7 linked regions of the Rattus norvegicus genome follow. The protein of the gene in region 4 binds, or shares a complex with, the protein of the main gene of each other region. Links are inferred from orthologs where the notes say so. Each region holds a gene or a part of one and is shown on either strand. Other genes may lie near its edges. The genes, in order: Meaf6, Ruvbl2, Taf4, Trrap, Anp32e, Smarca4 and Mbtd1.

Evidence for each region.
Region 1: Trrap (region 4) and Meaf6 share a complex: the UniProt entries of both Homo sapiens proteins name them as parts of the nuA4 histone acetyltransferase complex. The link is inferred for Rattus norvegicus from reciprocal best matches to the Homo sapiens genes TRRAP and MEAF6.
Region 2: Trrap (region 4) and Ruvbl2 share a complex: the UniProt entries of both Homo sapiens proteins name them as parts of the SWR1-like complex. The link is inferred for Rattus norvegicus from reciprocal best matches to the Homo sapiens genes TRRAP and RUVBL2.
Region 3: Trrap (region 4) and Taf4 share a complex: the UniProt entries of both Homo sapiens proteins name them as parts of the TFTC-HAT complex. The link is inferred for Rattus norvegicus from reciprocal best matches to the Homo sapiens genes TRRAP and TAF4.
Region 5: Trrap (region 4) and Anp32e share a complex: the UniProt entries of both Homo sapiens proteins name them as parts of the SWR1-like complex. The link is inferred for Rattus norvegicus from reciprocal best matches to the Homo sapiens genes TRRAP and ANP32E.
Region 6: Trrap (region 4) and Smarca4 share a complex: the UniProt entries of both Homo sapiens proteins name them as parts of the BAF53 complex. The link is inferred for Rattus norvegicus from reciprocal best matches to the Homo sapiens genes TRRAP and SMARCA4.
Region 7: Trrap (region 4) and Mbtd1 share a complex: the UniProt entries of both Homo sapiens proteins name them as parts of the nuA4 histone acetyltransferase complex. The link is inferred for Rattus norvegicus from reciprocal best matches to the Homo sapiens genes TRRAP and MBTD1.

The regions. Positions count from the first base shown.
Region 1 is NC_086023.1:142,628,011-142,632,235, reverse strand, and holds the start of Meaf6 (chromatin modification-related protein MEAF6), read right to left. Parts: upstream 2,801-4,225; coding exon 2,711-2,800; intron 1,769-2,710; coding exon 1,653-1,768; intron 1-1,652.
Region 2 is NC_086019.1:105,037,987-105,041,720, forward strand, and holds the end of Ruvbl2 (ruvB-like 2), read right to left. Parts: coding exon 3,671-3,734; intron 3,531-3,670; coding exon 3,407-3,530; intron 3,081-3,406; coding exon 2,986-3,080; intron 2,902-2,985; coding exon 2,783-2,901; intron 1,407-2,782; coding exon 1,287-1,406; intron 1,123-1,286; coding exon 993-1,122; intron 813-992; coding exon 698-812; coding exon of another isoform or gene 611-697; coding exon 585-610; 3' UTR 501-584; downstream 1-500. Other genes in the region: Lhb (lutropin subunit beta isoform 1 precursor), read left to right, coding at 138-380. UniProt on the Homo sapiens protein: Possesses single-stranded DNA-stimulated ATPase and ATP-dependent DNA helicase (5' to 3') activity; hexamerization is thought to be critical for ATP hydrolysis and adjacent subunits in the ring-like structure contribute to the ATPase activity.
Region 3 is NC_086021.1:187,458,243-187,462,419, forward strand, and holds the start of Taf4 (transcription initiation factor TFIID subunit 4), read right to left. Parts: upstream 2,801-4,177; 5' UTR 2,744-2,800; coding exon 1,516-2,743; intron 1-1,515. UniProt on the Homo sapiens protein: The TFIID basal transcription factor complex plays a major role in the initiation of RNA polymerase II (Pol II)-dependent transcription.
Region 4 is NC_086030.1:14,920,908-14,924,407, forward strand, and holds part of Trrap (transformation/transcription domain-associated protein), read right to left. Parts: intron 1,911-3,500; coding exon 1,772-1,910; intron 891-1,771; coding exon 812-890; intron 1-811. UniProt on the Homo sapiens protein: Adapter protein, which is found in various multiprotein chromatin complexes with histone acetyltransferase activity (HAT), which gives a specific tag for epigenetic transcription activation.
Region 5 is NC_086020.1:186,174,158-186,176,723, forward strand, and holds the end of Anp32e (acidic leucine-rich nuclear phosphoprotein 32 family member E), read left to right. Parts: intron 1-806; coding exon 807-861; intron 862-1,666; coding exon 1,667-1,737; 3' UTR 1,738-2,066; downstream 2,067-2,566. UniProt on the Homo sapiens protein: Histone chaperone that specifically mediates the genome-wide removal of histone H2A.Z/H2AZ1 from the nucleosome: removes H2A.Z/H2AZ1 from its normal sites of deposition, especially from enhancer and insulator regions.
Region 6 is NC_086026.1:28,442,319-28,446,618, forward strand, and holds the start of Smarca4 (transcription activator BRG1), read left to right. Parts: upstream 1-1,500; 5' UTR 1,501-1,794; intron 1,795-1,933; exon of another isoform or gene 1,934-2,099; intron 2,100-2,196; exon of another isoform or gene 2,197-4,300. UniProt on the Homo sapiens protein: ATPase involved in transcriptional activation and repression of select genes by chromatin remodeling (alteration of DNA-nucleosome topology).
Region 7 is NC_086028.1:79,377,759-79,381,258, forward strand, and holds part of Mbtd1 (MBT domain-containing protein 1), read left to right. Parts: intron 1-771; coding exon 772-854; intron 855-1,132; coding exon 1,133-1,367; intron 1,368-2,004; coding exon 2,005-2,082; intron 2,083-3,500. UniProt on the Homo sapiens protein: Chromatin reader component of the NuA4 histone acetyltransferase complex, a multiprotein complex involved in transcriptional activation of select genes principally by acetylation of nucleosomal histones H4 and H2A.

The sequences.
Region 1 (4,225 bases), on a different chromosome or scaffold from region 4:
GTCCCCAGCTCCGAAAAAAAGAATCACAAAAAAAAAAAAAAGGAGTAGCAAAGCATTGTGGGGCCAACCGAGAGGATCTAAAGGAATCGGTGTCAATTTTTAAGCTATAGGTGTCAATTTTATAGCTATATATTACATGCCGAGATGTCTTGCCGTTTTCAAGAAGTAACTGCTAATGTACGTAGAAGCAAAGATTGGTAGTGTAAGCGTCTAAGTCTTTGATGGTTAGCAGGGAGGGAAAGCACAGGGAAACAGAAATGCAACCACAGAGGAGGAACATGGAGGAGATACGTGATGGCAGAATGGGTCTGCATCTTTATACGCACACTAACCGGAGGGCAGCTCTCCACCGCTGGCCCCTGCTTTCTACCTTGTTATTTGGACAGCACTGCATACTTCTGAGTAGCTGACCTGCAAGCTTCCAAGTCATTTTCCTGTCCCCACCTCCCACCACAGTGTGCTAAAATTCCAGATGTGCATTTACATGTGTGTTAAATGGTGGGGGAGTGCCTGTAAGCACAGGAGACAGAGTCTGATCCCCTGGGGATGGAGTTACAGGTAGTTGTAAGGCACCTGACAGGGGTGCTGGGAATCGAACTCTTGTCCTCTGCTGGAGCAGGGTGTGCTCTTAACCGCTGAGCCATCTCTCCTGCTGCCAGATGTGCACCTTTTTAACACGGGTACTGGAAACTGAGCTCTGGTCATCAGGCTTGTGCACTGGGCTCTTTTATTCACTGAGCAACGTCTCCTGGGCCTAGTTTTACATCTCGTAGTTCTACACATATGATAAAATGCCACACACCTGTGCGTACGCAGTAGCCAATTGTGGTTCCCTGATTTTGACGATGTTCTATAGTTATGTAAAATGTAACCATCAGAGAAAACTGTAAGAACACACAAGCCCTGTGTACTGTTTTGGCAGCTTCCTATCCCAATCTGCAATTATTTCAAAACAAAAGGTTCTTAAGCATGCACGGATGTCTTCATACACTGATGTCTTCATACACTGGAGAGAGAGTGTGCACCCACAGTAAATTAGCAACTCATGAATATGTGGGAAAATGACTAGTCATATGCTATCTCATCTCAAGTTTTCTACAGATTTGAAAAATTCTCCCCAGTTACGGGTTATTTTCTTATAGAATCACATTACCAGGTCAATAGTGGTACAATTAGCTTAGAGATATGACAAAGATGGTAATTGGATATCATGGTTGATTAACATGTGGAAGACAGTTAAGTCACACGCTGTATTTCATTTACACCTACACACCCCTGTACCCTGGGCCCTGTTTTCTTTAATCACAAATATGGTTTCTCTATGAGACAGTCAGAGCACAACTGCAAGCTTCGACCTCATTCCACACTACAGCTTTATCATCTCATTGCAGAGTAAATACCAAAAGCAAACACCCCAAGCTCTACATGACAGTCCATACCTTTAAATCCATCAGTCAGGAGTTAGAGGGAGAAGGAGCTATGTAATCTGTGAATCTGAGGCCAGCTTGGTCTACTTAGTGAGTTCCAGGCTGGCCAAGGCTACATAGTAAGACCATATTTTAAAACAAAACAAAACAAAAAAAAAAAAAAACCTACAGGTAAATATTAGCAGAGGATAAAACGGGTAGATACTACTAGATTTTGACACTCACTTTTGATTTGTCAAATACCGATCCCAGCCACGGATAATATTGCCATACATCTGAGTGTCTTCCAGGTAGCTTCCTTCAAAAGCATAGATCTGTCTCTCCAAGTTTGCAAGCGTTTCCTAGGTGAAAACAGGGGCAGGGAAAAGCAAGCATTAAGCAAACGGAAATCCCAATATGGACTTGTAAAGTCAAGCTTACCCACAATGAACCGGGTTTTTTTGTTTTTGTTTTTTTTGTTTTGTTTTGGTTTTTGGTTTTTTGTTTTTTTTTTTTTTTTTTTTGTGGAAGAGTGCGGGTGATGGACCCCTTTATAAATAGAATGGAGTGTGTAGTCTATCTTCAGAAAATGCACGCACATGCAAGATTTTGCACCTACTTCAGAGGCAAAACCTAGCTGTCATGAGCAGGGATGAGACAGATCGTGAGCTGTCTCCATTCTCACTCACTAAATGTGTTGCCACCAGCAGCGAGAAGGGTGAACAGCTTTTCTAAAGCATCTTTTCTACATCAACTGCTTCCTCCTTGCTAGCTCTGGAAAGGCCGCCCGCAGTGGATGCCGGTTGCTATGGAAACCTGGAAGGGCAGCTTCAGGTGAGCTTTGCCTCCCGGATGCTCGTTGCAAAAGGCGGGAGCCTGGAGGGCTCAGCCAGCAGGGTGCCGGCGGCTCCTGGTGCGCGTCACCAGTCCAAATTCCCTAGGCTGCGTTCTGCGTCTCCCGCCAGCCTCTTTCCTTGGCATCCTCAAACACACCCCATTCCCCGGCCATTGAAACGCGCCGCCTATAGAATCCATCGTGCATCTTCTCCAGGCCAGGGTCTAGCCGCCTCCTTCCCACCCGCTAACCCGACCTGAGCGTCGTCCCCGCCTCCTGCCTCTCGCCCTTCCCGCGCCCTCACCGCCCCGCCCCGCCCCACAGAGCGCAGGCCGGGAACCGCGCCGCCGCAGGGAACCGCGCCGCGCCCGGCCGCCTAGAGCGCCCGGACCCCGGCTGCCCGCCGTCCTGGCTCCCTGAGCTGCCTGCGAGGCCATGCGGGGACGGCGTCCAGGCCTCGGCCACTCACCGCCAGCTCCTGCTTCCGCTTCACCAGCTCGGCCAGCTCCCGCCGGGTGTCTGGGATCTGCGGCGGCGCCGTCTTGTTGTGCATCGCCATGTTGGGCTCAAGCGGCGGCGGAGGCGGCGGCGCGCGACCAGTAGGCGGACCCTGCGCACTGCCGCCGCCGGCCGCCAGGGGGCGCGCCCCCATATCGCGCCTGCGCGCGCGGCTTCCGGGGAAGCTGGCAGGCTCAGCGCGCGAAAGCCGGCGCGGAGTGGTACTGGTTCGTGTGGGACATTCCTTGCTCCTCCGCTGCGGGCCTCTGAGCTTAACAGACACCCACAGACGTTCACTGCATCGAGAACCCAGCTGCAGCATAGGCCTGTTAAATGTCCCTTGTGTCTCCCCGCCGATGTCCCTGCCACACCAGCCAACTGCAGGTGGTAAACCTGAGCAAGGTCCCGCCCCACCATCCGGGCTGCAGAGAAGATCCCAAAACCAACCTTTTCCTGGGTTTAGCACAGGCAAGCAGATCTCCTGTTGTACACGGTTTGACGGAGGGGAAGGAGTATGAAAGAATTTGCTTTTATCTTCAGATCCAGAACTGTATCTAGGCTAGTATTGAACAGAAACACAGACCTTGAGTTTATCGTCCTGCCTCTGCCTCCCCACTGCTGGTTTGCACGTGTTGAGCTTGCCCACTGTTAATTGGTGCTGGGGATGGAACTCAGGACAGACGAAGCAAGCACTCTACCGCTACACCCTTAGCCCCTCTCTGCATTTCTCAGTGCTCTGCAACTTCACTAGGAGGGTAGGTGGCATTCTTTGCCCCATGTGTGGATGTCCTTGAGTTTCTATGCCCTAGGTGGCTATTGCTCAACAGGTCTGAGAAATTCTCAGTTTTCTTCGAATCCTCTTTCCTAATTTTCCCTCACACAAATCTCTCCACTTCTCTCATGTTCCCCTCCAATAGTGCATACCTATAATTCTAGCACCCAAAAGACAGAGGTAAGAGGCTTAGGAAAGTCAAGGAACTACATAGTGTGTGGGCTAGCCTGGGCTACATAAGACCCAGTCTCTCACAAAAAAAAAAAAAAAAAAAAAAAAAGTCAATGGCTGGAGATAGAACTAGACCCCAGTTGGTAAACTGTCTGCCTAAGCCTAAGCCTGCACAAATCCCTGGATTCGAATCTAGCACCCCTTCCTTTCGTGCCATCCTGGCTCACATAAGAACCTCCCAGGGCCAGGCATGGTGGCACATGCCTTTATTCCCAGCACTCAGGAGACAAAGGGCAGACAGATCTCTGTGATTTCGAAGACAGCCAGGATAGCCAGAGCTGTAGAGTGAGACCGTTTTGAGGGGGAAAAAAAAAATCAAGGCCAGACTCAACTAAACAGAATTTGAGGCTAGCCTGGGCTTAAAAAAAAAAAAAGATCAGATCCTGGAAAATTTTATTTTTATGTATATGAGTGTTTTGCCTGCATGTATGTCTGTGTGTACATATGCATGTAATTCCCAAGAAAACCAGAAGACATCAGATC
Region 2 (3,734 bases), on a different chromosome or scaffold from region 4:
CACCTGGGCAGGGATCACAGCTACTGTGGGGGCAGGACCAGGTGGGCATTCTGCCTAGAATGGCTGCAGGGGGTGGGGAGGGGGCGCAGCACAGGGGAGGGACACTCAGATGAGGACTTTCTCCACCCTGCACTCAGGTTCGAGTACTGCCAGCTGCCTTGCCTCCCGTGCCTCAGCCAGTGTGCACCTACCGTGAGCTGCGCTTCGCCTCTGTCCGCCTCCCTGGCTGCCCACCTGGTGTAGACCCCATAGTCTCCTTTCCTGTGGCCCTCAGCTGCCGCTGTGGGCCCTGCCGTCTCAGTAGCTCTGACTGTGGGGGTCCCAGGACTCAACCAATGACCTGTGACCTTCCCCACCTCCCCGGCCTTCTCCTCTTCTGATGCCCACCCACTAACTCCCCATTCTTCTGGAGCCAGCAGGTGTTCTAACCATCCCTCCCAATAAAGGCTTTACAACTGCACTCCGATGTCCTTTTGTGTGATCTGAGGATACAGCAGAACTCCAGTTTTCAATAATTTTATACAAAGTCACAGTGTTAGAACTTGTAGAAAACAGGCTGGGAAGGGTTGGGGTGCAGTGTCAGCTCAGGAGGTGTCCATTGTTTCACCTTCTGCAGAGAGGGGAAGCCAAATGTGAGGGAGCTCCTGGGTGCTCCCATGCAGCCCCTCCCACAGTGGCAGCAGCCTGGGATACTCACTGAGCTCATTGAAGAGGAAGGCGTCCTGGTATTCCTTCATGTACTGTGTGGAGCGGGATTCATCCAGGAAGAGGGAGTATACGCGCTTGATGTCGTCCACCTGCACCTCCGTGCCCTGAGAGCAGGTGGGGCTCAGCTGATGTCAGCACGGGGCCACCCCCACCACTAGGTTTTTTTCTCTAAAATGCCCGGGCACCGGCTGTGGTTCTTAGTCCCCACTAAATATCCATGTACCATGGCTCAAGGGCTACCCCAGGGCCACCCCTCAGTCCTCCAGGCTAACTCGCTGGCTGACCTTTCGTTTCCGGCACACCAGGCTGGCCGCTGTGATGAGCTGGATGGCGTAGCGCAGGGAGGTCTCGAGCCCAATGCGGGTCAGCACTGTGTAGGCGTCCTCACTCATCTCCACATCTTCCTCCTCACAGCTGTGGGAAGGCAGGCCAAAACGGCAGGCATATCACCCACCCATCCCATAATATGCATGGATACTGGGGTCTCGGAACCACGGATGGTGAGGCTAAAAGAGCCACGGGCACAGGAGGGCCTCCCACCCCATCTTTCCCGACTCAGTGTGGGGCAGATGCCACACCGGATACGTAGGATCTGTTTGGTGTCCTTCTCACTGTAGGGCGATGTTGACACAATGAGCAGCCGGTCTAGCAGGTCAATGGGGATGCCGTGGGGACTTTGGTAGCTGGTGCCTCGGATCCTGGGGGTCAGGGAAAACTGTTAATGGATGCTTTTCAAAAACATACGTGCCACCATAGCCCACTTGGGAACTCAGTAACTGTGAGCACTGGCTCTCATCCCCAGTAACACACTTCTCGGCAGCTGTGCACACTAGCGGCTGTCCTGTGCCCTGCTGCCCTGGCAAACCCAGTTCCTGGTGAGCAATGGGACCCATGGCAGTTTGTTCCAGGCATGGGAGCTTAGCCATCGATATGAGAGTACTGTTCTCCAGGGGCTGGCTCAGGACAGCTGCCAGATCTAACCTACCACTCATGGACTTTCAGGGACTGGGGAATTGCAGTGAACATCAACTAGCAAAGGGGACCTTAGGGCTGCCTCCCCTCCCCCCTGCTACCTTCACATCTATGGCCTTGGGCAAGCTGCTCAGCTTTGCTGATCTACTCTGTGAAGTGGGAGTAGTGGGGAGAATGAAGTGCAGGCAAGGTAGCCAGGTCCCAGCCTCTTAGGGCTGTGTGCCATCCGCCTTCACCACAGCTACACCTAACTGCAGTTGCAGGGGGCCTGAAAACTTGTGTCATCTGTGGGTACCACATGCATGTGTACACACACACAGACACACACATAAAAGTAAGTCAGAGAAGAAAGAGGGGCTGGAGGGATGGTTAGAATACATACTGTTCTTACAGAGGAGCCCAGGGAGAGTCCCAGGACCTGCACCAGGCAGCTCACAACTGCTTCTAAGTCTAGCTGCAGGGGACCTGCCATACTATTTTGGATTCTGCCCACACCTACATTCATACCTGCATATACTGCCTCCCCCACATTCAAACAACAACAACAACAACAACAACAACAACAACAACAACAAAGACGCCATGCTAAAAACACGAGACAAGGTGATGTGCTTGATGAAGTCATGAGCCATCGTCAGGAAAAGTCTGGCTATCCAAACCAGTTTGTATACTCTCTTATCTACAAAGGGTCTCATGAAGCCCAGGTTGACCTAGAACTGAGTCCTTTCTCAGCCTCCATATTACCAGGACTGTGGTTGGAGCTGACATGCCCAGTGTCCACAGTGTCTTTAGGTCAATACATGTGGTCTGTGACGATTAAGTGGCGGGGTCTGAGTGACGGACTGATCACAGCAGTTTGTGACATATCTAATAGATAGCCCCGTGCTCAGCATAGGGTAAACTTCCCAGGGCCCTTTGGGTGCCTGCTCCAACAAGTTTAAATCCAACTTGAAGAGATTTTCTATCTGTCCAGGATTGTGAGGACCACACTGGAGGCAAGCTGAGTAAGGAGAGGAACTCAGCAGATGGTCATTCACCTTGAGGCCACCATCAACCCCTGGCCCAGAGTGCCCTTGCTGCAGAGGCCTCTAAAGCTGCTCACCGGGTGATGCCTCGGTTGGTGGCCATGATAAGAACAGGCGCCATGTCACTCTCCAGGGCCCGGTTTAGGAAAGAGAAACTCTCAATGTCCAGCATGTGGACCTCATCGATGAACAGCACCTGGAAGCCATTAGGGCACAGATCAAGCTCTCTCCACCTGGTACCTCAGGGCTAACCATACCCTCCTGGGCTGCGGCCACTCACCCCAGGGATGATCTCCGCTTTGCCCTCCTCCCTCCACTCTGCCACCTTGGCATTGATCTGTTCTCGGACTTCTGACTTGATCTCCCCTGTGTCTCCTGCCAGAGATGGGGGTGTCAGTTAGAATTAGAGATTGAGCCCAGGACCGGGGTGGGTGAAGAGAGAGACAGAGGAGCACTGGGGAGGAGGGCTCTGGGCTGCAGCAGCAGGGCCAGAAAGGACAGAGGGAGTGACCCGAGGGAGGACTCGAGGGCAGTGTAGGGAAGGACACACTCAGACGGGGAACAGAGACAAGCAGCAAGTCTGTAAAGAAAGCTAACAGCGCCAAGAAAGAGGCAGAAAAGCTGGGGGTGGGGGTGAGCCACGCTGAGGGAGACAAAGGATGTACCAGAGCATTCAAGGTGTTGGGGGAAGGGCAGCTGACCTGAGAAGAGAGCCAAGAAGCCCTGAGTGCGGGAGTTGATGACGTCAATCTCATGGAGGGACACGGTGTGCACCACCTCCTTGCGTTTTTGCAGCTCTCCGTCTGGGCACTGCACAAACTTGGTCTACAGGGTCAACGGCAGGTGTGAGGGCAGCCAGGACACAGCCTGGAGCCCCACACTGGGAGGTAACCCAGCATCCAACCCCATGACATAACAGAAGATGGAGAAACACTCCAGTGCTGGGTTGGGGATGAGCCAAGCACCTGGGAGCCCATGGCATCATAGTCTCGGGCACGTGTGAAAGAGCGGCCCAGCTTGGAAATCTTG
Region 3 (4,177 bases), on a different chromosome or scaffold from region 4:
CATGGGGCTGATGCAGACGTAGAGAAGTGCGAATGATGGACCTATTTACTTTTTCCCCAAGGAGTTACCTTCTGCTCAAACACCAACCCTGAACCTGACCTGAAAAAGGAGGCAGTTGTGATGGAGACGGCAGCCAATGCCCTTTGCAAATGGCATTGTCATTTCTCCCGGGGAGATGGACTTTACTTGTACGGCACTCAAAGGCAATGGAACCAGGGAAAGTCAAGACGCTATGGAAGGATGTCATGGCACCTGACTACGACAGCTTTCCTGATAAAAGGACAACATGGGCACATCCTTGCACTGGGGAGTCTATTCGAATAATAGACTACAAGCACAGAATGAATCTTAAACTATAACATCAGCCATATTTTCCACCCAAAGGTCAGAGTGAAGATAATGAACAAGACCTTTCAATCACACACACGCACGCGCACACACACACACACACACACACACACACACACACACACCCTGCCCCAGATGTGTGGCAAGAGACATCTGCAGCTCCTAGGCCTTATGTCACACCCAGCGCCTCCTCAGAGCATGGCAGCCCCTGCAACCTCACTAACTATTCTGGGTCCTGTATCCCCATAGATAGGGCAAGTATCTCTGAACCTTTTCGGAGCCTTCCTGGTCCTCACTGACCTCAGCAAAACTGAATTCTAAAGATGCTTTAGCTCTTTCAACGTGACCCAAACCACTTTTCAGAAAGCAGGGGGACACAGTAGCAGCATGTTTTCTAATTCTCTACTACTGCCACCGCGGTGGGCGGGCGGCGCTGCTACTACTGCTTGCACATGTCACTGTGTAACACGGGAGGAGCGGAGCGCTCAGTGCTCGCTCCGGCCCAGGGTTCAGTGGGAACACTTCTGCAGAGGACTCTCAAACAAAAGCAGTCTACAAGCGGGGAAAGGAGTCACTCATCAAACCCAAGGGCCCTGAGGAATTCGAGGACAACAGAGTCAGAGCCTACATGGAATCTGCAAGCTCTGAGACAGCTTCTGAGCCCCAGCATCCACATCTCCATGATCTCCTGCATCCGCAGACCCCTGCGCAGTGAGTGTCCTGCTGACCTCCAGGGATGGCAAAACAAAAACACTCAGGGTCCTCTTTCAGGCACCGATGACCACTAAACCCCTGCTCCCTGCATGGAGTCCCTAACCAGCTTCCCTGACAACAGGGAAGCCCACGCCTTCCACACAGACTTCACCATCCTGCCCCTGAGTTAGTTCGCCCTCTCTTGACCTCACCTGAGGAAGGAGAAAGAAGGGCCCCTCGACCACACAGTGGTAGCCCATAGCACCCCAACGGGACACCAGAGTTCCCTGAGGGCTCTGGAGCTCCAGGACTGGGAAGCCCTCAAAACTGTCAGGTCACCTGGGCAGAGGCCGCCCCTCGGCTTCGCGTGCCACCCTGCCAGGACACAGCCCCAGAATGCAGCCCAGAACTTCCTGGAACGCCAGGGCCGCCTGGTGCACCCGCCCTCGCCTCCCGCCGCGCGCTGCCACTCACCTGGGGGCAGCTGGAAGTTCTGGATGTTGGTCGGGTTCTGCGGCGGCTGCGGCAGGCGCGGGGCCAACACGGTGGGCGTCAGCGTGGCCCGGATAGCGCCGGTGGTGGCCGCCGGCGTCCGAGGCAGGCTGGGGGTCGCTGCGGCCGCGCCCTTCGCCAGCCCCGCGGGGGTCCCGGGAGCAGGCCCCGGCAGCGCGCCCGGCATGGCGGGCCCGAGCAGCACACCGCCCGCCGCGCCCCCGCCCGCGACCCCCCCCGCCGCCGCCGCCGCCGCCGCCGCCGGCCCCGGCCCGGGCCCCGGTCCGGGCTTGGGCGCCTCGGCCTTAGCCCCCTGCGCGCCCGCGCCCGGCTGGCCCAACCCCGCGGCGCCCCCGGAGGCCGCGGCGGGGGCAGGAGCGGCCCCGTTCTGCGCGGCGGCGGCGGCGGCGGCGGCGGCGGCAGCGGGTGACACGGGGGGCGCGGGCGCGGCGGGGTGCCCGGGCGGCCGGGCTGGCGCGACGGGCGCTGGAGGCGCGGGAGGCGGGGGCGCGGCGGGCGCGGGCGCGGCGGGCGGCGAGGGCGCGGCGGGCGCGGGGGCCGCCTGGATGACAGAGCCGGCGGCGGGCGGCGGCGCGGGCCCGTTGTTGACCGGGCTGACAGCAGGTGCGGCGTGCGGCGCGGTGGGCGGCGCGGCGCTCCCATTCAAAGTTTGCGCGGCGCCGGGGCCGGGCGGGCCAGGCGGGCCGGGCTTGGAGGCGCCGGGGCCGGCGGGCGGGGCGGCGGCGGCGGGATCCGGCCCCGCGGCGGCGGCAGCGGTGGCGGCGGCGGCGGCGACGGGGCAGGGCCCCGCGCTGGCCTCGGGCGGCGGCCTCAGCTTGGCGGGCGCCGGCGCGGGCCCTGCGGGGACAAGCAAGCGGCGCGGTGAGCTGGAGCCCGGGCGCCGCGGGCCCCCACCCGCCGGCCGCGCTCTACCTGCGGGGGGCGGCTCCGGCGCCGCTGCGGGCGCGCCCTCGGCGGAGGCGGCCGGCCCTGCGCCCGCGGCTCCGGCCGGGCTGCCGCTCACAACATGGTTCCCGAGCGCGCCGGCGGCCGCGGCCCGCAGCTCGGGCGTGCGCGGCGCGAGGTGGTGGTGGTGGGCCGCGCTGGCCGCCAGCTGCGACTCGAGCGAGCCCACCAGATCGCTCACCACTTTCTCGTCCACCTCGCTGTTGAAGAAGACCTCGTCCAGCAGATCCGAGCCCGCCGCCATCTTTCCTCCTCGCCGCCGCCGCCGCCGCCGCTCGGCCGAGCGCGCCTGGGCAGGAGGAGGTTCCAGCGGGGCGCGGGGCGGGCGGGGGGCGGTGCGCGGGGCGGGCGGGGGCGCGGCGCGCAGGGAGGGGGGAGGGGCGGCCTAGTGCGCAGGCGCTCCGACACGCACCGCCCCCGCCCGCGCCTCTGTGGCCTCTGATTGGCTGCGGCCGGCTCTTAAAAGACGCGGCCAATGGCTGCGAGCGCCAGAGGCCGGGGAGCAGGCGAGGTGTTGGGTGCTGGTCGGCTGTTAGAGCGCTGGTGGGAATGGCAGCCGGGCGGGGAGAGCGGCGGCGCTCGGTGCCGGGTGGGTCGCTGCAGCCGGCTGCGGGGTTCGCCCTTTGTCTGCACCCTTCCAAAATGGCTGCGGCCAGGGCGGGCGGCGACAGCTGCGCGGGCGCTCCCGGGGCCCCGGCGGTCAGTGAGGAGCAGGAGTCCTGGCAAGAAAACGCTTTCGGGGCGGAGAGGTGCGCAGAGGACGCCACGGACGCCACGGGTCAGCTCCTCTGACTTACAGCGGTTAGTAAGAGGGCCGTGCACACCGAAGCTGGACATCCGGAAGCTGATTTGTTCTTTATTTACTTTTCTCGTGGGGGAGGGGGTAGTAAATCCTCTAAACTGATGCTTGCAAGCACTTTGTGGGAACGTTTTCGTTACCATTTCGCCCCTTTCTTCCTGGGTGTTTTCTTAACCAAAAGGCCGTCTTATTGAACGTTGCTATGATTTCGTCTTTCCATTTTTTGAAAAGGCCCCAAAAACAAATTCCAGATGGCAAAGCTCCTTGTTGGGACCTCACTGCAACTGACCCTCCCAGAATCATCGTCACTTCTGAAGAGACTTGCCACAGTCCGCACAGATCCAGCACTGGGGAATGAGGAATGTGACATTGTAATTTTTTTTTCTTTCGTGCCTTGAAAGAGGCGTTTCCTACCAGCCCGTACTACCTATACACACCATCCCAGCACTTGGAAAGTGAAGGCAGATTAATAAGGAGTTCAACCTTGGTTATATATTTAGTTGGAGGCCAGCTTGGGGTCTCATGAGACACTTATATCAAAAAGGTGAGGTGAGGACTCTTCCTCTCTAAAGCAGGCTGCTCTCTAACTCTCAGCCTGTGTGCTGATCCTGTCCCAGCCTTTTAAACTAAGTGAGTTATAACTGCTATACAACAAACCCCACCCTACCCCAGCTGTTCTCTAAGCAATAGTCTATCTAAGGAACTGTACACGTTGAAACCCCCACCCCCACCCACCCCCAAAAAAACAAAACAAAACAAAACACAGTGCCCTCACTTGCAAAGTGTGCTAGGGAACCCTTAGACAACAGAAATTTTGTTCTTGAACATCAGCCTCCAGGTTTGGAAAGCCAGTAAAAAGGAGGAGACAATGAGAAAGCA
Region 4 (3,500 bases):
CCCAAGACTGCCCACCTAGGGATGGTGCCACCCACAGTGGGCTGGGCTCTCCTGTTAATTAGCAATGAAGAATATACCCTATAGATGTGACCAGAGGCCAATCCGACAATTCTTCATTGAGTTTCCTTCTTGTCAGGTGACTTTCTAGATCAGCTACTGACAGTAGCTTCTTGGCAAGAGTATTTTCTTTTAAGGCAGAAGTTCTCAACCTGTGGGTCATGACCCCTTCAGGGTTAAGAACCCTTGCTGTAGATTATGTCAAGTCAACAGTAATAAACTAACCAGGAAAATACCTAGCAAACACCAGCCGAAACACCAGCCAGAGCACAAATGATCATCAGCTTGTTCACACGCTAAATGGTGTTTGCTACTCAAAATTTACAATGTACCATGCATGGCAGTGCAACACATAGGAGGCAGAGGCAGGTGGATCTGTGAGTTCCAGGTCACCCACAGCTACCTAGTGAGACTACCTCACATGTTAGCTAATAGGTTAATTAATGTTCTATATGTTATGACCACTCTATGCATAAACAATACTGTCTGGGTTATTAAATTGTGCAGGCTGATCATTGACCTCTATACCTTTTCAGGAGTGCATGAGCACACTTAACCAAAAAATTCCAAAAATGTTAAAAATTTGTTCTTTTTTTATTAAAGCAACCTAAGGACTTTCAAACTTACTGGCCATTCTAAATCCAGGAAGTGAGGAGAGCCCAGCAGACCTGCACTTAATTAGAGTCCTAGTACAGGTGATCCAGTCCCTAGCAATCGCACCAAGCAGGCCTGTGTCCGTCTAGCAAGGCTGTACCTGAGCGTCTCCCGAGCCGTGTACCCAGAGCCTATCAGGATAGATTCATCAAACAGCTTGTCCATGCAGGGGATGAACTCTAGGAAACAGAAGAACATTAAAGACCTCACAAGCCTTCCCCAGTGCTCAGGGCAGAGAAAAGACAGCAAAGACCCTGTGAGGTGAGATGCTGCTTCTACTGGGCCACACAAGCCGCCTGCCCACGAAGACAGTCCGGGTAATGTTCAGTGTTAGAGAACTGACCAAGACTGACTAGAGAGATGGCACAATCGTACCAAAGGCAGAAGAGAACTGACCTCTTGGATATGGATGACAAGCCCACGGGACAGTTAGATTCTGGAACAAACCTGACATACAGCCAGCTTAGTTCTAAAGTCAAGTACATCTCAGGCCTCTGGCCTCCTGCGGGCACCTGAACTCGTGTGCAAACCCTCACCCCAGCACACGCACAGACAATTAATAAAAATATGTCTTCAAAGAGGGCTGGCGGGGTATGATGGCCCACACCTTTAGTATCTTAGCACTCAGAAGGCAGATCTCAGAGTTTGAGCCAGCCTGGTCTACAGATGGCTCCAGAACAACCAGGGCTACACAGAGAAAACCTGTCTTGAAAACATAAGTGGGCTAGAGAGTTGGCTCAGTAAAGACTTAGTTCGATTCCCAACACCCACATGACAGCTCTGAAGTGTCTCAAACTCCAGTCTCGGGGATCTGACACCCTCTTCTGGTCTCTGCAGACAAAAGGCACATGTGTGGTGCACAGTTGTACAAAGACACAAGTAAAACACACACATCCATACACGAGCGAGCAAACAAATGAAAATTAAAAATTGAAGACCCAAGGCTGCAATAATGAAGGACCAGACATGCTAAGACCCTGTAGAAATTCTAGGAAGTCAGCAAGCCTTGCTCCAAAGATGGCCCAGGCTACACAGGCCTTGGGAGAAAAGGCGGCCTTACGGTTTCTTAGCTCCGTGGTGAGGATGTGCTTGGCAGCGATGAGAAGCTCCTTCCGGAGGTGTGCGGTCTCCGCTGGACAGTTGGAAAGCAGCTGTAGCATGCCTTTCACCATCTGCTGAGAATACTTTGTCACCAGCTCCTGTCACAGCAAGGAAGACCACAGTCACACTGTGTCTGAGAGGCTGCAGAGACACCCAAGCTCTTTATGCAGCACCGAGCCTAAGTGAGCACCGCCAGAAAGGTTTTAGTGTGTACGTGCGTGTGCAGTCATGCAGCAGTCATTCTGAAAGGGAAGTGTGCCCACAGGGACAGATGGCCTCCCACGTAGACTAAGTGTGGGCACGACACTCTTATTGTTCTATTGCTTTACAAATTTCAACACTGAATTTGCATTACCTCCTTGGAAGAAAGAAAATAAATGCTTAAAGCGCCTGTTTAAAAAAAATATTCAGGGGTTGGGGATTTAGCTCAGTGGTAGAGCGCTTGCCTAGCAAACGCAAGGCCCTGGGTTCGGTCCCCAGCTCCGAAAGAAAAAAAAAAAAAAGAAAGAAAGTAAAAAAAATATTCAGTGCTAGAAAGACAGCTTGGTTGGGGCTGGAGAGATGGCTCAGTGGTTAAGAATACCGACTGCCCTTCCAGAGGTCCTGAGTTCAATTCCCAGCACCCACATGGTGGCTCACAACCATCTGTAATGAGAGCTCATGCCTTCTTCTGGTATATCTGAGACAGTGACAGGGCTCACATACCTTTAAAGAGACAGCTTGGTGGTTAAGGGTACTTGTTGCTCTTCCAGAGGGGACCCCCACCCTGTCCTTCACCTTCCAGTGCCCATGACAGGTGGTTCACAACCACCTGTAACTCCAGATCCATAAGATCCAATGCCCTTTTCTGGCTTCCATAGGCAAGTGTTCGTTCACATGCACAAGTGCGCAGGTATACACACACACACACACACACACACACACACACACACACACACACACACCTCTACACACCTTTTTAAAATAAGTAAATGCCAGGCATAATAGCTTACACCTTTAAATCCATCACTCAGGAGGCAGAGGCAGGAAGCATCCTGGTCTACCTAGCAAGTTCCAGGCCAGCCATGGCTACACAGTAACAGCTTGTCTCAAAAACAAACAAACAAACAAACAAACAAACAAACCCATCCATCCATCCATCCATCCATCCACCCTCCCTCCCTCCCTCCCTCCCTCCCTCCCTCCCTCCCTCCCTCCCTCTACTTAGTCGCCCCACTAACGTGAGCTGAGCATGGTGACTTCTGAGCAGCTCTAAACAACCTCTTCCTGACTCAAACACCAAGGCCCAAAAACTCCACTCATGATGGCAAATGCCCACGAGCCAGCACTCTGGAAGCTCATGGGCCAAAGGTCAGCCTGGACCACACAGTGAGACTTCATCTCATAAAGAGAGTCTGCAGAAGACTAACCGATCAATGAGCTCTGGGTTTGACTTAAGAGACCTGCCTCAGAAAGAGAAGGCAAAGAGCAAAGGAGGAAGATTCCCTGCACACATGAGCCTTCACTTCTTCTTTTTTTTTTTTTTTTTTTTCTATTTTTCGGAGCTGGGGACCGAACCCAGGGCCTTGCGCTTGCTAGGCAAGCGCTCTACCACTGAGCTAACTCCCCAACCCCGTGCCTTCACTTCTAACACACATGCACCACATACTCACACACATGCACGCACACACGCACACACAAATACGTGA
Region 5 (2,566 bases), on a different chromosome or scaffold from region 4:
CATAGTCATAAAAGTGATCAAGGGGCTATCTAGCAAAGATCTTGATTCAAGTCAAAGGATCCATTAAAAAAAAAATCTGGTGGGTGTCTTTAATCACAGCCAGTGCTCCACAGAGAAACCAAGTCTTCAGAAACGACACAGAAGCTGCATAATGTCGTATGATCATAAGCTCAGCCATGGAGAAGTGAAGACAGGTGGATGCCTGGGTTCTGGGAGTAAAGATGTGCTAAGTGTGCCCTCACGGTGGTGCCCCATGTTACCTGGAGCATGGCAGGTCTAGAGAAATACATTTTTATAGTCAACATATAACCAGAACCATATTTGATGTTAGGGTTCAGACCATCTGTGCCTCAGTCTTTAGAGTGGCCTATTTTAAAGTGGTAAAGCCTGTTTTGCCATGGTAACTCGTGGGCGGATGTGGTGTATGCCTGCAATCCCGGCACTTGGAAGGCAGAGCCGGTTCATTCAGGAGTTAGCTTGGGCTGGATCAAGAGATCCTGTGTCAAGCAAACAAGCAGTTGTACAAACTGTGACCGCAACTCCCTCATTGGTGCTGTTGCATTTCCAGTACTCACCAGCACGCTGGTACCACGCACAGAGAGCATCTGCATGTTGGAGAACGTTCTCTTGAACTGTGGTAGTCCAAGGCACAGCCTGTGTTTATAAAAGTCTGGGTGATTTGTTATCTTCAAGAGCAAAGGAGGCAGAAACTGTCCTTTGAGACACAGCTAAACTGTGATTTCATTGCCCTTGTTAAACAGTAGCAGTCCATGTAATGTTTATTCATTCTCACATTGACTTTGAAGGATGAAGAAGACGATGATGATTACGTTGATGAAGGGGAGGAAGAGGAAGAAGAGGGTGAGTTGTATTCTCCATAAGCACATTCTGAATCTAAAGATAACAGATACTGAGTCTGGTGGGGATTGCCCTGGCCCCTGAGCCTTTAATTTTGTTTATCATAATATGCCTAGACATGTAGAGAAGCATTTTGAAAGAGTAATTTAATTCGGCCAAAACAACAACAAAAACAATTTGTAACCTGTACTTAAAGACAGAAACAAGGGGCTGGAAAGATGACTCAGTGGTTAAGAGTACTGGCTGCTCTTCCCGAGGCCCCGAGTTCAGTTCCCAGCAACCACGTGGAAGGATGCAAGGGAAAATCAGGCATGGTCACCCACGCCTTTGATCTCAGCATTTGGGAGGCAGAGGCAGCGGAATCTCTGATTTTGAGGACAGCAAGGGTTATGCAGAGAAATCCTCTTGAAACACACACAGACCAAGAGAAATGAAGTGAAAGTTTATTTGCACCCTGGAATCTGACTTGCAGAGCATAAAGCCCCAGCACAGAGAAGAATGGCTGGACACCGATGTCCCTTTAGTGTCCTCTTTACCTAGTCCTAAAGAATCGTGTCTACCTAAAGGCGTCACATCGCCAAGCACTTGGTCTCTTGATTGCCCTGGCAGTTGTGGTTGGTTTGTGAGCATCTCTTTTTTGTAGCGTCAGGTTCTCTGAAGTCCCTTATATTCTGAAATTGGAAGAAATTCCAGAGTGGAAACAGCTTATACCTTCTCATGACATTCATGTTTTACTAAGATTAAAAGCTTTGTAAAATAACAAAAACTCAATTGTTAAAATTGAGTGTCTTATATATTTCCATTTTAGAAGAAGAGGGTCCTCGGGGAGAGAAAAGAAAGCGAGATGCTGAAGATGACGGGGAGGAAGATGATGATTAGACCCTCCAAGGAGAGGCTGCCTGACACTCCCGGTCGTGCAGTAGGGCGGTCACATTGTCTGTGTTTCTTTATGTATGATAGCTGTCCCAGTAGGAGATGATGTGTAACTTTTTATAGGAAAAGTGTGGTTTTACTATTTTGGCCTTACCATTCCGGATAAGATTTGCTAGTCTGTTAATCATAATGTACTTAGAAAAGAATTCTCCTTCATCTTCCCATGGTGAAATTCTCTAGCATTGTATTTAGATTCTGGATTTTTATAATTCATGCTTAATGTATTAGACATTTTTAGCCCATAATTAAAACATGGTTGCTTTTACACAGGTGTAGTTTGGTGCATTTCATTCATAATGTTTTAAAGTTATTTATAAATTAACGAATTACACTTAGCTGTAATATGAATTGGCAGTAGTCTTGAATTATAAAGCTGGATTTTGTTTTGTTTTTTTAGAGGCGATCCAGAGATCATCAGCGTGAAGGCAGTTTTTGGGGTGGGGCGAGGGTATCTGAGGACGTTCCTGTCACAGTTTGGAAATTAGAGGCAGAATCAGGGTTCTCTCTTCAGAAGGCAGGTCATGGGCTCAGTCCTGCGGAGCCATAGATAGTTCAGGGCTCTGTCTTTTCTCAGTCCAGACTTGCTGTGGAGCCCCCTCTGTGGGTGACTGAGCGGGCTGTGGGGTTCAGGTGTGCATCCCCTCCCAGCTGCTCCTCTTCTGTCACCTTCATTGCTTCATTCCTGTCCGCATCCAACAGACAGCTGGCAAAGCTGCAGACACCCCTGGGCTTTCACCTGTACCTCAGCCATCTCTCTCAGTTTCGAGCAAGTGAA
Region 6 (4,300 bases), on a different chromosome or scaffold from region 4:
CAGACTTGGGGGGCAGAGGCAGGTAGGTCTCAGTTTGAGTTCATCCTGGTCTCAAGATCCAGTTCCAGGTCAGCCAAAGCAACACAGACAAACTCTGTCCTGAAAAACAAAAGCAAAAAACCCCCCCAACCAACCAAAAATACCATGTGTTTGCCAGTGTTGATAGCTTGGGTCTGTTTTCCTAGCATTTTGGAGGCAGTGGCAGGGGGATCACTGCCAGCTATTTAATGGCCTGAAACATTCTTTGTTCTACTTTGTGACAGAAAACTGCTTTTTGTTTCTTTGTTTAAAAGTCTCACTTTGTATCCATGGCTGCCCTGAAACCTTACTATGTAGAAGACCAAGCTGGATTGGTACATTCATGCAGCACTCAGGAAGGAAGAAGGAAGATCTCTGAGTTCGAGGCCAGTCTAGTCTTGAGAGCAAGTGCCAGGTCTTAAAGAAACTTGGTCTTGGGGGCTGGAGAGATGGCTCAGTGGTTAAGAGCCCCGACTGCTCTTCCAGAGGTCCTGAGTTCAATTCCCAGCAACCACATGGTGCCTCACAACCATCTGTAAAGAGATCCGATGCCCTCTTCTGGTGTATCTGAAGACAGCTACAGTGTACTTATACATAATAAATGAATAAATCTTAAACAAACAAACAAACAAACAAAACCCCCCAGAGATCCACCTGCTTCTGCCTCCAGAACCCTGCCCCGCTACCACCAAATACTTTTTTTTCTTTTTTTTTTTTTGGAGCTGGGGACCGAACCCAGGACCTAGCAAGCGCTCTACCACTGAGCTAAATCCCCAACCACCACCAAATACTTTTAAAACCAACCAGAGGCCTGGAATCTCCACATTTGGACAGAATTATACGCTCATTTCTCCAAAGCTAATGGCTTTCTTCGAAATCATAAGGAAAATTGTGACCATTGCTGTTTCTACCTCACACCCTGTGCTTTTACTTATTCATCTGGTTTATGAACCAGAGGATGGCTAGTAGCCGATGGCAGCTCAATAAATATTTGGAAAGCTAATTACTGGGCCTCAACAGGTTCTGCAGGAAATGTGGCCAGGACAGAGCCTTGCAGAGCAGGCAGGGCCGTGCCAGAGCCAGGATCAAAGCGTTTCCCAGGCCTGCCCTTACCCCCGCGTGGGTTCTGTCCCGTCCTTGGGCAGTCTGGCCACCTCTCGGCTTCACTTTCCTCCCAGGGTGCTCATTTCCGAGCCTAAGAACTTCCCTTTCATCATTACTATCTCCCATCTGGACGACCCAGTACCCTCCCCCAACATCTAAGCGTCGCCGCAGTGCCGCCACCTCTGCGCATGCCCTTCGGCTTGAGGCCCAATTTCGTGTCTTGAACATAAGTGTGCGCTTGCGCAGAGCCGCCCAGAGCCCCCCAATATGGGCGGTGCACCAGGATCTCGTGCGGCCTCTGGACCCGCCCATCTTCTCACTACCTCAAAGGACCAGTGCGCATGCGCACAACGAATGGCTGAGCATGCGCACAGAGAGCGGAAGGGTGGGCTGGCGCGCGCACGAGGCCGGACGGGCAGCGGAAGCAGGGGAAGTGGACTGGGTAGAAAGGGAGGCGGGGGCGCGCATAGCGGGCGCGCGGGCTGCGTGTGTGCTGGGGGGGGCGGCCAGCCGAAGCCGAGCGGGCACGCGCGCGAGGCTTTCCCACTAGCTTGGCAGCGGCGGCGACGGCTTCTTTGTTTCGTGAGGAGAAGCGAGACGCCCACTCTGTCCCCGACCCCTCGTGGAGGGTTGGGGGCGGCGCCAGGAAGGTTACGGCGCCGGTACCTCCAGGTAAGGAATGGAGACTCCCGGGCGGAACGAGACTCCCGGGGCTTGGGGAAGACGGTTTGAATGAAGCCGAGGCGCCGGGAGGGGGAGGGGGCAGCTGGGCGACCAGAGCGGGGTCGGGGTACGGCGGCGCCTGAGGGTCAAGAAGCCTTGCGCGCGCTGCTCAGGCCGCAGTGCAGCGAGACCGCGGCTGCTTCCAGGCTCTGTGGCCGGCGAGGCGGGTGACTCTGGCCTGTGTGAAGGCCGCGCGCGCGTTCTCGTGGGGTCTTGGGACAAAGCTCCTTCCTTTTGGCGTTCCAGAGATCCAGGTCCCCCCCACTTTAATTTCTGTGAATCTTAACTTTGAACAGTGGCTAGGTGTCTTGGGCTTCTCTGGCCTCGTTTGTGCGATTCTAATGCCCTGTGGTCGGGCGTCGGGAGCAACATTTTACCTCAGATATTGATGCCCTGTGTAGCTTGGGCACAGTCATGAGCCCTCTTCGGTCCTCAGACCTCACTTTTTTTTTTTTTTTACTTTTTGATAAATTTCATTATTGCAGATTTTAAATTTCTTCCGTGGCTTCAAAATGTTTGCCTAAAAAGTGAAAGATGCCTGGGAACGTTTGCTCACGGCCGCATTGTTTTTCTTTTGAGTCTCTTGGCTCTTCCCAGTTTTTCAGATAGGGCTTTTTATTTTAAAACCTCGAAGGCAATTGTTTTGTGCGGGTCGGAGGGGCATCTTCTTGATCCTCTTTACCTCCAGTGACTCCTCAGGAACTGGAAACAAATTTTTTGTTTGAATTGACAGACAGGCTTTGAGTTTGATGCCCAGCGTTGTCTGTCAGCTAGCTGTGTGGCCTTAGGCGAAATCGCTAAATCTCTCCAAACCTCTTGGTTTCCTCCTTTGTACAAGGGAATCACTTTCACTGATAGGATTGGGAAAAAATAGCTCCTGCATCATCATCATCATTCTGATTTTGAAGACAGGATCTTATAACCAAGGCTGCCCTCCACCTTCTTATGTAGACCAGGCTGGGCTTGAATTGCTCATCCTCATCTTCCTGCCTCCATCCACCTCCCAAGTGCTGGGATAGCATATTCAGCCAGGCTTCCTGTACTGTTATTGACTGGTCCAGCAGATAGTTGAATTCCTACTTTGTGTTACATGTCTTAGTAGGGGAATGGGCTGTAATGGAACCATTACTCCTTGGCCTGCATGAGTATTGGTTCATAAAGAAGTACTTGGTTTGTTTTGACCTCCTCCCCTCCCCCTTTCTGGTCTCACTGTGTAGCTTTGGTTGTCCTGAAACTCTGTTATCAGGCTGGCCTCAAACTCACACAGCTCTGCCTGCCTCTGCCCTCTGAGTGCTGGGATTAAACTCTTGCTTAGCCATGCCGTTGGGCCCATTTGTGTTTTGTTTTGTTTTTTAATTAAATAGATTTTATTTGTTTATTTTATGAGTCAGGGTTTCTCTGTGTAGCCCTGACTCTCCTGGTACTTGCTTTGTAGACCAGGCTGGCTTCTAGCTGAACTCAGAGATCTCTCTGCCTCTGCCTCCGCCTCCGGGAGTGCTGGGATTCATTAAAGTGTTGCAGTTCCTTATTTATTTGTGTGTGGAGGTCAGAGAACAACTTTCAGGGGTCAGTTCTCCCCTCTATCATGTGGGTTCCTGGGATTGAACTCAGGTGGTCAGTTTTCTGTGGGGTACTTTACCTGTTGATTCGTTTCTCCTGCCTAAGCTCTAAGTGTGTTGAATTTTTGTGGTGCTGATCAAAGTTGATCCTGTACATGCTAGGGAAATGTTCTACCACAAGCCAGTACCCAAGCATGGTTTTGATCTTTTTATTTTTATGAATGTGGGATATTTTTGTTGTTGTTTGTTCATTTTGGGTGTTGTTGGGCCTGGAATCCATGGCCTTCTGCATGTTAGACATGATATATTCTCCCCAATCATTTAGCCTCACAACCTATCATGTGACAGGACAGAGTGGTTGCCTGAGGGAGCAGTGGTGGGCATAAGTCTAGAAGCTGCATGGAGGAGGACCCTTCATTTACAATTAGGGAAGATGTGTCTCCCCACCCCACACGCTGAGAATGGAATGGTGCCTGCAGAACTGTTGCTCTGTCTGTCTGGTCTGCAACAGTGCAGTTGGAGCAGGCAGTAGTGAGACAGGACAGGAGGGTCCTGGGGAGGATGAACTTGGGCGATTGGTACAAGATCCAAAGCAATAAATATTTGTTGCTGCTGTTTGGCCTTGAACTTTCCAGGCCATTGCTCTTCTAGCCCCAGATGTCACTGCTTTGAAAGTGATGAAGTCACTGGTGAAGTCTGGGGTCCTGGTTTGGTGGTTTGTTTGTGGCTGGATGTGAAAGGTGGTTTTTTTTTTTTTTTTTTTTTTTTGAACTTAAAAATTTTTGTTTAATTTTGTGTGATATATGGAGGTCAGAGGACAACTTTCAGGAGTGGATTTTCTCCTACCACGTGTGTCCTGGAGATTGAATTGCAGGTCATCATATTGGTAGCAGATG
Region 7 (3,500 bases), on a different chromosome or scaffold from region 4:
TCTATATTTTTAGCTGGTCTGGAACTTACTATATAAACCATAGCTATCTTCCTGCCTCTGCCTCCAGAGTGTTCCATTAAAGGTGTGACAACTACACCCAGCTAACCATTCTTTGTCCTTGCAACTCTCATGGATTGACCAGTGACCTTTAATTTCAGTGCCTTTACCTTGGGTTTTTCTCTAAGATGGGGTTAAAGCAAAGATTTGTTGAAAGTATAATTCAGCTACTTTAGTTTCCTGAACAAAGAAAGAGTATTAAGTGTTAGACTGTTCTAAACCTAGTGCTGCAAGAAGTCGTAGCTCTCGGTGGTAGGGGCGCTTGCCTAGCATGAGGCCATCGATAGATCCCCAGTCTCACACACGCACGCACACGCGCGCGCTGAAGTCTGTCCTTGGAGTAAACAAGAGTCGCTTTTGCATTAAGATAAGGAGACATATACGTGTGTCTGCACAGGGGCTTCTTTGTAATATGGTACCGGAAGCTCTGAACACCACCAAGTAACGTAGGACATCCTCAATCCCATACTTGGAGGTGGAGACAAAAGGACTTGGGAGAAGCCGTTTACCTTCTACTGCATAGCGTGTTTGAGACTGGCCTGAGCTATTTGAGACCCCAATCTCAAAAATAATATATTTTTTAAAAAAAAAAATAGAATGAGAAGAAATTACCATTACCACCTAAAATCTGAAATTTCATGTACTGAGTTACTGACATTTTAAGGTTATGCTAATTTTAAATGTACTGTTACCTAAACCGGTTGTATTTTTTAGGTTACACAAAACTTCCTTTTAAATGGTTTGACTACCTCAGGGAAACCGGCTCCATTGCAGCGCCAGTAAAACTGTTTAATAAGGTAAGGTTGAGTGGGGCCTGGCCGTGACGTACGAGTGCAGTTACTCTTGGGTTGAACTTCTTCGGCTTATATTAGAATTTCCTAATGAAAATCAACAAAGGAAACTAAGTGTTTTCTTTAGAGAAGCAAGTCTTTCTTTCTTTTTTAAGTGTAAAGGAGGGTGCTTGTGCCGTATGGTGGCACAGCTGCGGAACTGTTGTGAGCTTTGGGAAATTACTTCAGATGTCTGGTTTGTGTCCTTCTGAGCATCGCACTGATACTGGATTTCTCTGTGTTAGGATGTTCCAAATCACGGATTCCGCGTGGGAATGAAATTAGAAGCTGTAGATCTCATGGAACCACGTTTAATATGTGTGGCCACAGTTACACGAATTATTCATCGTCTCTTGAGGATACATTTTGATGGATGGGAAGAAGAATATGACCAGTGGGTAGACTGTGAGTCCCCTGACCTCTATCCTGTAGGGTGGTGCCAGTTAACTGGATATCAACTACAGCCTCCAGCATCACAGTGTAAGTTACTGTACAGAGAACATGTTCTTTTCTAAAAACCAACTAATCCCCCAGAGGGCTGTCCCTTATAAATCACCTCGTAAGCTCACAGCACAAGAATATATCAATGTCTGATGAGTTGCCAGGTAAAATACTAAGACCCAATACTATCACAGAATTAGACTGTGTGTGCCACGGCAGTGTGAACTCCATATCAGTTACATAGCAGTAAATTGAGAAAACCACAAGTCACCAAATTAAACTACACTGTGGTTGAACTGCATACTGTAGGCTGGAAATGCATTGTTCATAAGTGCTGTTGCGTAAATAGTGAGGTACATGAGGGTTTTTTGGTTTTTTGTTTTTGTTTTTTTTTTTTTTTTTTTAGGTTTTGGTTTTTTGAGTCAGGGTTTCTCTGTGTAGCCCTGGCTGTCCTGGAGCTCATTCTGTAGACCAGGCTGATCACAAACTCAGAGATCCGCCTGTCTCTGCCTTGGGAGTGCTGGGATTAAAAGCATGCTCTGCCTCCACCAGACAAGGCTCATTCATGGTTTTGTAAGACCAAATACACCCTTTAAAAGCATTCTTAAGGGATGACGATCTTCGTAAAGAATTGTCTAGCCATTCTCTGTTACCAATTTTCCCTTTTATTTTTCAGCATCAAGAGAAAGCCAGTCAGCTTCTTCAAAACAGAAGAAAAAGGCTAAGTCCCAGCAGTACAAAGGACATAAGAAAAGTGGGTCACCATGCGTCTGCATACATTGTCTAACTGTTAAGCAATTAAGGTCACAGTACTCTTGCACAGAAAATTACATCCCTGTGAGAGCTGATGTTTGTTCATTATGTATTATGCTTAAAGGTGCAGTATGACATAAAAGGCAAACCTTCTTGATGTAAGAAACAGTTTTAATTAACAGGAGAAACAATCAGGTATTCTTTAGCTGTGTTTCAAGCACACAGCTAAAGAATAGAGCCTTATAGTGATTCTTGAAATAATTATAAACCTACTTAAAGTTAATTCCTTTTTTAAAACTTTATTTAATGAAGCAAAAAAAAGCAGTGTTTGCTTACAGTAGCTATCATATCAACTCTTATCTGGAATGATAATCCTGAGAAATTCACGTTTATTAAGAAGGACTGCTGATGAGATAGCTCAGGTAAAATGAAAAAGTGGAGGCTTAATGTGGTGGCACACTCCTTTGGTCCCAACATTCAGATTATAGAAACCAGCCTGGTCTACAGAGCAAATTACAGAACAGCCAGAACTACACAGAGAATAAACCTGTCTCAAAAATAAATCCAGTAAAGTGAAGAATGATAAGTCTCCAAATGAACACATTCCCACATACAACGGTATATCACAGCAGACACAGCAGAGTGAGAAAAAGATCTGTGGCTGGAGAGGTGGCTCAGCAGTTAATAGCACTGTCTTGCTTTTCCAGAGGTCCTGAGTTCAGGACCCAGCAACCACATGGTAGCTTACAACCGTCTAAAATGGGGTCTGATAGCCTCTGACATGCAGGCATTCGTGCAGGCAGATATATATATAGAGAGAGAGATATAGATATAGATATAGATCTTTTTTTTTAAGCCTATCAGCTTCAACTCATGGTGACCTGCATAGGCATGCATAGCACTTTCCTCTGTGGGCAAAACCTCCCACAGACCCAAGATTACTTTGCCCATCAGGAGCTTGATAATACAGTTGTTCACCTACACGTGCTTGGGGAGTACTGCTAGACCATTCACAATCAGAGTGTGGTCTGCGGATTCAAACACGATTCCGGAGAATTCACATGTGAATTTCATGTCCCTAAATTAACTAAGGCAGGTGTGTCTACTCAACTTTCTGTAAAGAGAATTTAACAGGCTTACTTAAACTGTCTTACTTTGTGTTGGACAAGAGCTTGAGTAAGGTTTCATAAGTATCTAAGACATTGAAGTCAAACAGTGGTTTTAGCCAAGCATGGAGACAACATGGCTGTAATCCCAGCGTTCAACAAGCAGAGGAGAAAGATTAGGAATTCAATGTTATTCTCAATTCCAAAGCAAGTTCAAGGCTCACCTGGGCTACATGAGAACCTTAAGGTTGGGAAGGAGAGTGAGGGGTTTCACACGCATAAGTGTGTAGGGTTTGTCTGCCTATTAACATAA